2 linked regions of the Macaca mulatta genome follow. The protein of the gene in region 2 purifies or fractionates together with the protein of the main gene of each other region. This does not show direct contact. Links are inferred from orthologs where the notes say so. Each region holds a gene or a part of one and is shown on either strand. Other genes may lie near its edges.

Region 1 (4,065 bases), on a different chromosome or scaffold from region 2:
CCTTCTTCTGTCTGAAAGAGCAAAAGAAGGAAGCCAGGGGTTCTAGGGGGCAGGCAGGCAGCAATTTCACCACCCCTAGGCAATCACACCTAGTTGCAGCTTCATTGGGAACAGCTCAGCTCTGAAAATACAGACCTGGGACTCTCCCTCCCAGCCTTCCGGCTCTCGTTCCTGTGAGCAGCTTTTCAACCTCCACTTTGAGCCGCTGACAGGCCTTCCTGGCGCCACAAGGTCAGCTAACATACCCACCTTCCACAATCCCCAGCCCTGCCAGACATAACCTGCAACAGGCATTCCTGGATCAATGCAAACTCCGACTTCTGTTCCAGGAGTCTGCCTCCTTTGAAAAAACTCACACAAATTTGCGTGCTGTCCCACTGTAAATGCTGTATAAGATGGCCAGGCCCAATCAGTCCCCGCAAGACACCGAATAAGAACTATCTATGGAGTGTTTACTATGTGCCAAGCACGGTCCTGATCACTTTGCAAGCACTATTAACCCTCAAAATAACACCACCGTGAGATTGAGACCATCATGATTCGCGTTCTACAGAAGGGAACACTGAGACTCTAGGAGGTCAGGACCTTTCTAGGGTCACAACTGCGTAACTAAGCTGCAGAGCTCAATCCGGCGGCACTTCCATCTCACAGGCAGCTGTCTGATGGTCAAGAGCCCAACCAGTCCCCCGGTCGTTTCTACCTCACTAAACCGCTGTGTCAAGCTGGAGCAGCGGGTTCAGCAGTGAAAATGAAAGAACAGAAGGAGGTTAGAGAAAAGAACGGTCACGGTAAATTCTGGAGAGGAGGCAAGGACGTACACACCGAGAAACTTCCTGGTCACCGTTACTCAGCACTTTGTGAGGTTCACGGGGCTGGGGATGGCCAGGGCGTGGCGGGACTTTTCGAGGAATCCAGCCCTGCCTGGGCGGTCCCAGGACTGTCCCCATCTCGAGCGTGGGCGCGTTCGATTCAGGCGCGGCGGACGCATCCCCAGGTGACCTGGGAAAGACCTTGTGTCTCTGGGGGTGACTGTCCGTCTCCCTGCCTCCCACCGTCACGCGCAGTGCTGATCCCCACTTCCAGCTGGGGCGCGAGCTAGGCTTGGAGGCGCAGGAGCCGAAGCCCTGGAGCTCCGCCCCACGCTTGCGCCAGCCCCGCCCCGATCCCGGCTCGCAGGCTCCAGGGGCGGGGCGTGGCCGGGGCGCAGCGGCGGGCGCGGAGGTCCGGGCGGGCGCGCGCGCCCCCGCCACACGCACGCCGGGCGTGCCCGTTTATAAAAGGAGAGCAAGCGGCGACTCAAGCTCGGTTTGGTGCTTTGGATCCGTTTCCATCGGTCCTTACAGCCGCTCCTCAGACCCCAGCAGCAAAGATGGTGAAGCAGATCGAGAGCAAGGTACGCGCTCCCGGGGAAGGCCGGGGCGCCGGCGCCGCGGGCGGCCTCTGTAGCTGGGGAAGGCGGTGGCGGGAGATGCGGAGGCCGCCCTTCTGCATCGCCGGGGGAAAGGGACGCGGCGTCTCGGCCTGGGACTGAGGGAAGCGGCGGCCTGGGCGCGCCCAAGGCGGTGGAGCCTGCCCTGGTGGAAGGGAAGAGAGGGACGAGGGTCCCCTGGAGGGCGGAGTGGCGGTATCCAGCGTTGCCCGCACCCTGTGCCCCGGGGGGTTGCACGCACGCGGGGAGCGCCCGGGAGATGTGAGAGCGCGGGCAGCGTGAGGAGCCCCCACGCTGCCCTTCCTGCACCATCCCGTCCGGGCAGCCCCGACTGGAGGAAGGCGAGGGAATAGAAGGGGTCCGCCCTTGGCCCCCTTCTGTATCCAGATTCAGGCCCTAGGCAAGGATAGAGAGGGCCCCTTGCAGAAGGCACGGGTCGCTGGCCGCCGCTGCCTTTCCGTATGCGAAGTGATCCACCCGCAGCGGGGGTAGTGATCTCCCTTGGGAGCTGGTCTAGGCCGGAGACCCTCAGCTGCTTCCACCCATTCCCGGCCCCAAAGGTGACGCGTGCTGTATCCGCACTAAGGAGGCGGATTGCGGCTGGAGACCCCTTGGCACGTGCAGGTCTGGCCAGGAGGCCAGAGGGCCCCAGGTGACCGCGAGGAAGTGAGGTCCGGGCCGCGCCCACGGGACTCCTGTGGCTCAGTGCGTGTTTCCGGCAGCAGTGGCTTTGGAATGACTCAGTCCCCAAGGTTGGGCCCGGGGGCCCCGGCTGCCCTGCCCGTCCGTGATTCACCCTCAGTCGGTGGGTTTTGCTGGAGCCAGGGTTCCTCCTGGGTGCAGCCGCGCCTTGCTGCCTGCTCGCCGACCTATCGGTATCCCGATCGATGTTTGTCCTTTTAAAAATGCCCAAGGCAAAACAGACTTCCCATGTTTGAAAGTTATTGCAAGCCTAAAACCTTCTAGACTGGGAAACCCAGAGCCTAACACGCAGTGTCTAATGTAGCCATTCCAGAAATATTTGTTAAATGCAGCGTCAGAAAAGTGAGTGGAGGAAATTGATACTGCCCGAACGGTAGAAGACCCCTCGCCAGCGCCTACCCTGCGATGACCCCTCCCCACCCGCGGGAAGCAGGGGAGGGCGGATCCTCGCCCGCCTTGAGTGCCCTGACCTGTTTGGTGCCGGGTGGGCTTCGGAAACAGAAGTGTGTCTGCAATGTGTCCCCGATCCTTTTGTGCCTTTGATTGTTATTGACTCAGTATTTTTTTCCTCGTATGTTGATTGCCACTGTAGTCTTTTATCTTCCTCTTAATCAGTATTTTCTTAGTGGGATTCTCATTTTAGCAGCCCTCATGTGTTGAAAAGATCCTTAGTAGTGAATTGTCTTTCATATACTTTTTTCCAAGCACCTATTGTGTGACAAATTTTAGTCCATTCCTGGGGAAGGGAGTGGGGCTGGGATTCTGTTCTCCAGGGTCTGGCAACCTCAGTATAACCGAACTGCTGAGAACCCCCCGCCACGGAGCCAGAAGACCTTTGAGTGGTCTATGTTAGTTGTCACAGTATCCAGTTACTACAAACAGAAAGTTGATTAGGATTTCTGGAGCACAGTTTAGTCCTCCCAGTTGTCAGAGCATGGTGGCACCTTCCTCTTCTACCAGTGACAAAGGTGTACAAGGGTGACAGGAACTTTAAAAAAAGCACTACAGCCTGGGGCCCACAGGCCCTGATAATCAATCCTCAAAGTAACAATCCAAAGTCATTGATCGAAAGTTACACTAATTTGATTGTTATTTGTTAGTTTGTTTTTTGAGACGGAGTTTTGCTTTTGTTGCCCTGGCTGGAGTGCAGTGGCTTGATCTTGGCCCACTGCAACCTCCACCTCCCGAGTTCAAGCGATTCTCTTGCCTCAGCCTCTTGAGTAGCTGGGATTACAGGCATGCGCCGCCACGCCCGGTAATTTTGTATTTTTAGGAGAGACGGGGTTTCACGATATTGGTCAGGTTTGTCTCGAACTCCTGACTTAAGGTGATCCACCAACCTCGGCTTCCCGAAGTGCTAGGATTACAGGTGTTAGCCACCGCGCCCAGCCTGTTATTTGTAAATGTTGAATATATCTTACGTTTTCATCCTAATGGACTAAATTGGCATCATTGGTCATTGAGAACAATTCTGTTTCTGAGGTAGTCTGTTAGTACGTTAGGGCCGACTGGGATCTATTTCAGAGAGGAATGGAATAATTGATTGTAAATGTGATGAGGAAGAAATAAACTTTAAAAAAAAGAAGAAGAAGAATGACACCTACCATTTATTCAACTCCCATCCACAAGGCACTTGGCTAAATACTTCAGAAACCACTCACACTTACTACCTTCAGAGTAGGTATGTTTAAGCAAAGAGATCTTAGACTCTGCTCCTATTTACCCCAACTACATTGTTTTGCTTCCCCCAGATTATTGGTGTCAGTGATGGAGACATTTATTAATAGTAACTGTTAGTTTCTGTGATTTCTTCTTAGTAATATACTCTTGAATAATTTTCAAGCTGATACCCGTTTGGAAGTATCAGAAGAGAGCTTGTACATGAAGCCTGCACATACCTGGGGTGTAACTCATGTTCATTTAGGCTAAAAGTT
Region 2 (3,500 bases):
TGGTATGCACCACCATTCTCCTATGGACAAAACCAGTTCTGCACCCTAAAGAGCCTGAACACTCAGATACCAGGAAACCTACCCCTGCAATCGGTCTAAGATCATTCAGCCTTTTAGTGTAACCTAACTATTTTACAAACATTATATAATCATCACCACAGCCTTAAGATACTATTATGCCTAATTTATTCATGTAGCACTTAAAATTTAAATTTTCCACAAAAAAGGCAAGTTTAAATGATTTGCCAACACTCTCTAGTCCTTAAGGGAAAAAAAAAAAGCTAAGTAAATGATACACATAGAACTATGTAAACCCTTAACACTAAACTGTTTCCCTCTGACAGCCCTTCAGAACTCTGAAGGCAGCAACCTCAGTCTGCCTTCTCAGCATTCTTCTAACGCTACCAAACTGGAAAGCCTGAACCTTATAAAGGATCAAGAACTTAATAGAAGCCCCTGCTTGTTTCATTAAGTAACTGCCATCTACCCCTCGGTAAGCAAAAGGCAAAGTTTGAGATTTTTCGTGAATGTATACAGAAAGCACAGCCTTCAACCTTTTCCTGACAATGCCTAAGAATGTGTCTCAGGCTAGCCTGAAGAAAGTGAGGCAAGGGGACTAATCTCTCATTTTTCTTTTTCTTTTTTTGAGATGGAGTCTCGCTGTGTTGCCCAGGCTGGAGTGCAGTGGCGTGATCCCCACCTCTCTCTGCAACCTTGGTCTCCCAGGTTCAAGCAATTCTCCTGCATAAGCCTCCCAAGTAGCTGGGATTACAGGCGCCTGCCACCGCACCCGGCTAATTTTTGTATTTTTAGTAGAGATGGGGTTTCACGATGTTGGCCAGGCTGATCTCAAACTCCTGACCTCAGGTGATCTGCCTGCCTCGGCCTCCCAAAGTGCTAGGATTACAGGCGTGAGCCACCGCACCTGGCCTGATTTTTCCACTACCATGTGCTGTCATATTCTACGAGACATGTAATCAAAGTCCAGCAGGAGCAGCAAGAGTCTCAATTGCTCAAGTGAGACATAGGGAGGCCCCTCTTTGGTCCAAGGATATCATAACCTCAAATATCAAGACTCTACAAACAGCTCTCTAGGCATAAGGTACAGATGGAACAAGAGCTAAATAGAAGGACAAGCTGCCATTATTTTCCTAAAATCTCCATCTGATTGTTAGTTATTGGCTTTAGTGATATCAAAGGGTTACAATACAGGTCCTAAAGATAAACAAGTTGGAAAGAACAGCATAAAAGCAAATAAATACCAGCCTGGCCAACATAATGAAACCCCGTCTCTACTAAAAATATAAAAAATTAGCTGGGCGTGGTGGTGAGCGCCTATAATCCCAGGTACTCGGGAGGCTGAGGCAGGAGAATTGCTTGATGCAGAGGTTGCAGTGAGCTGAGATCATACCACTGCACTCTAGCCCGGATGACAGTGCGAGACTCCATCTCAAAAAAACAAGTGTTTGGCAGCCGGGCACAGTGGTTCACGCCTATAATCCCAGTGCTTTGGGAGGCCAAGGCGGAGGACTGCTTGAGCTTGAGCTCAGGAGTTCTGAGACCAGCCTGGCCAACATGGCAAAATCGCATCTCTACAAAACATACAAAAATTAGTGGGGCATGGTGGTGGGCCCCTGTAGTCCTAGCTACTCAGGAAGCTGATGCTAGAGAATTGCTTGAACCCAGGAGGTGGTGGCTGCAGTAAGCCGAGATCACACCACTGCACTCCAGTCTGGGCAACAAAACAAGATTCTGTCTCAAAAAAAAAAAAAAATATATATATATATATATATATAGTGTTTGGCATTCATAGGCTCTTGAATGGTGCCTATTTAAGAAGCTGTACATGTTCCAGTGGGATGGGAAGCAGAAGAGACCAATAGAGTCTGAAGAAGCAAGCTTCTGAGTCATGAAAGCTTGTGTTCGGGAGACTAACCTATATGTAGGTTCCCAGGAAAGTCCAGTTAAAGGGCCTACTTTGCCACTGCCGGCTCCTTCTTAATGCTGAACCTCATCTCCCACAAGGGGGCAGTCTCAGCAGGTGTCAGCTGAGCCATGTGTTATCTGTCCAGGCTAATTGCCCACACATCCTTCTGAAAAGGGTACCTCCTGGTTATCAGTGCTCACTGATCCCTATATAATCAGACTCTTACAGGGATTAAAAAGTAATCCCTGTAAAAAGATTATTTGGTGCTAGCCAAACTAGCACCTTTGGGTCTTCCCAAACATACACCACTAATCCAGACTCTAGTCACTAAACTTCATTTTCTTTAAATCACAAGATCAGAGCTAAAATGGGCCTTAGAAAGCTAGTCTGGGCTGGGCGCGATGGCTCATGGGAGGTGGAGGTCACAGTGAGCCAAGACTGCGCCACTGCACTCTAGCCTGGGCAACAGAGCAAGACTCTGTCTTGCAAAAAATAAATAAATAAATAAATACAAATATGAACTATATGGATTAACCTCTTCTCTCAACAGTTATTTTTTAAATGGCATGCTTCATCTCTAGATGTGATTCCCAACCATTTTGTTTTGCCCTAATACATCTGTGAGATCATCCTACATTAAGTTAGATCTTTAGGAGTGACTGATTCTAAATGAGCAGGGCAGAAGAGAGGAGTATGTACACTTCGAATAAAAAGTCTTTATATTCTCCTTCCCAAGCTTTTCCATTACCCTCACCCTCACATACTGTAATCCAGGGGCTTCAATATCTTGAAGAGAAATACCCCTTTTCTTATTAGGTAGCTTCTGTTCCTACTATCTTTCCCATTCTACCACCACTCTGTTATCCTTTTATCAGACAGATGGCTTACCTTCCCCATGTTTGTCAGTGAACTGGAAGGCCTGAACTAGTCTCAAAGTCTCATCCACAGAGCGGCCAACAGGGAGGTCATTTACAGTGATCTGCCGAAGAATACCCTTATCATCAATGATAAAGAGGCCCCTGGGAAAAGAGATGAAAGGAAAAGCAATACAGGTTTAAAGATGTGCTTTGTTAGAATACAGAAGCTTGAAGTCTTAAGGAAATGAACTGGTCTCCACATTCATACTGGCCTGGCCTTAGTGAGAAGGCCCCTGCATAAAGGAATGAAATGATGAAGGAGTCTCTACAGATCAGGGCTCTAGATTTCTCCAAATAAAAGGCTTTCAGCCAACTGGGTACTTGTCCTGATGACATACCTGAATGAAATGCCTTCATCAGCCTTTAAGACCCCATAATCCTGAGCAATGGTGCGCTTCGGGTCTGATACCAAAGGAATGTTCATGGGTCCCAGTCCTCCTTGTTTCTTAGGTGTGTTGATCCTACGGCAAAAGGCAAACACAGTTACATTCAAACTCTTGACTTAACTGTACCTATTCCTCTTTCCCCCTTTCCCATATTCCTAATCTAACTTTCCAAAAAAACTGTTTTTTTCCTTTTCCAGCAATAAAGTGAATGCTGAGAACAGTTAAGGTAGGTTACTAGGGTACACTCAACTGCAACTGAAGCTGCTGCTT

Evidence for each region.
Region 1: the proteins of PRDX1 (region 2) and TXN purify together in Homo sapiens (affinity purification with western blotting; 3 studies listed by BioGRID, with this or other methods). This does not show direct contact. The link is inferred for Macaca mulatta from reciprocal best matches to the Homo sapiens genes PRDX1 and TXN.

What each region holds. Positions count from the first base shown.
Region 1 is NC_133420.1:48,154,404-48,158,468, forward strand, and holds the start of TXN (thioredoxin), read left to right. Parts: upstream 1-1,265; 5' UTR 1,266-1,369; coding exon 1,370-1,393; intron 1,394-4,065. UniProt on the Homo sapiens protein: Participates in various redox reactions through the reversible oxidation of its active center dithiol to a disulfide and catalyzes dithiol-disulfide exchange reactions.
Region 2 is NC_133406.1:195,098,790-195,102,289, reverse strand, and holds part of PRDX1 (peroxiredoxin-1), read right to left. Parts: intron 3,306-3,500; coding exon 3,183-3,305; intron 2,947-3,182; coding exon 2,816-2,946; intron 2,459-2,815; exon of another isoform or gene 1,732-2,458; intron 1,611-1,731; exon of another isoform or gene 1,425-1,610; intron 1-1,424. UniProt on the Homo sapiens protein: Thiol-specific peroxidase that catalyzes the reduction of hydrogen peroxide and organic hydroperoxides to water and alcohols, respectively.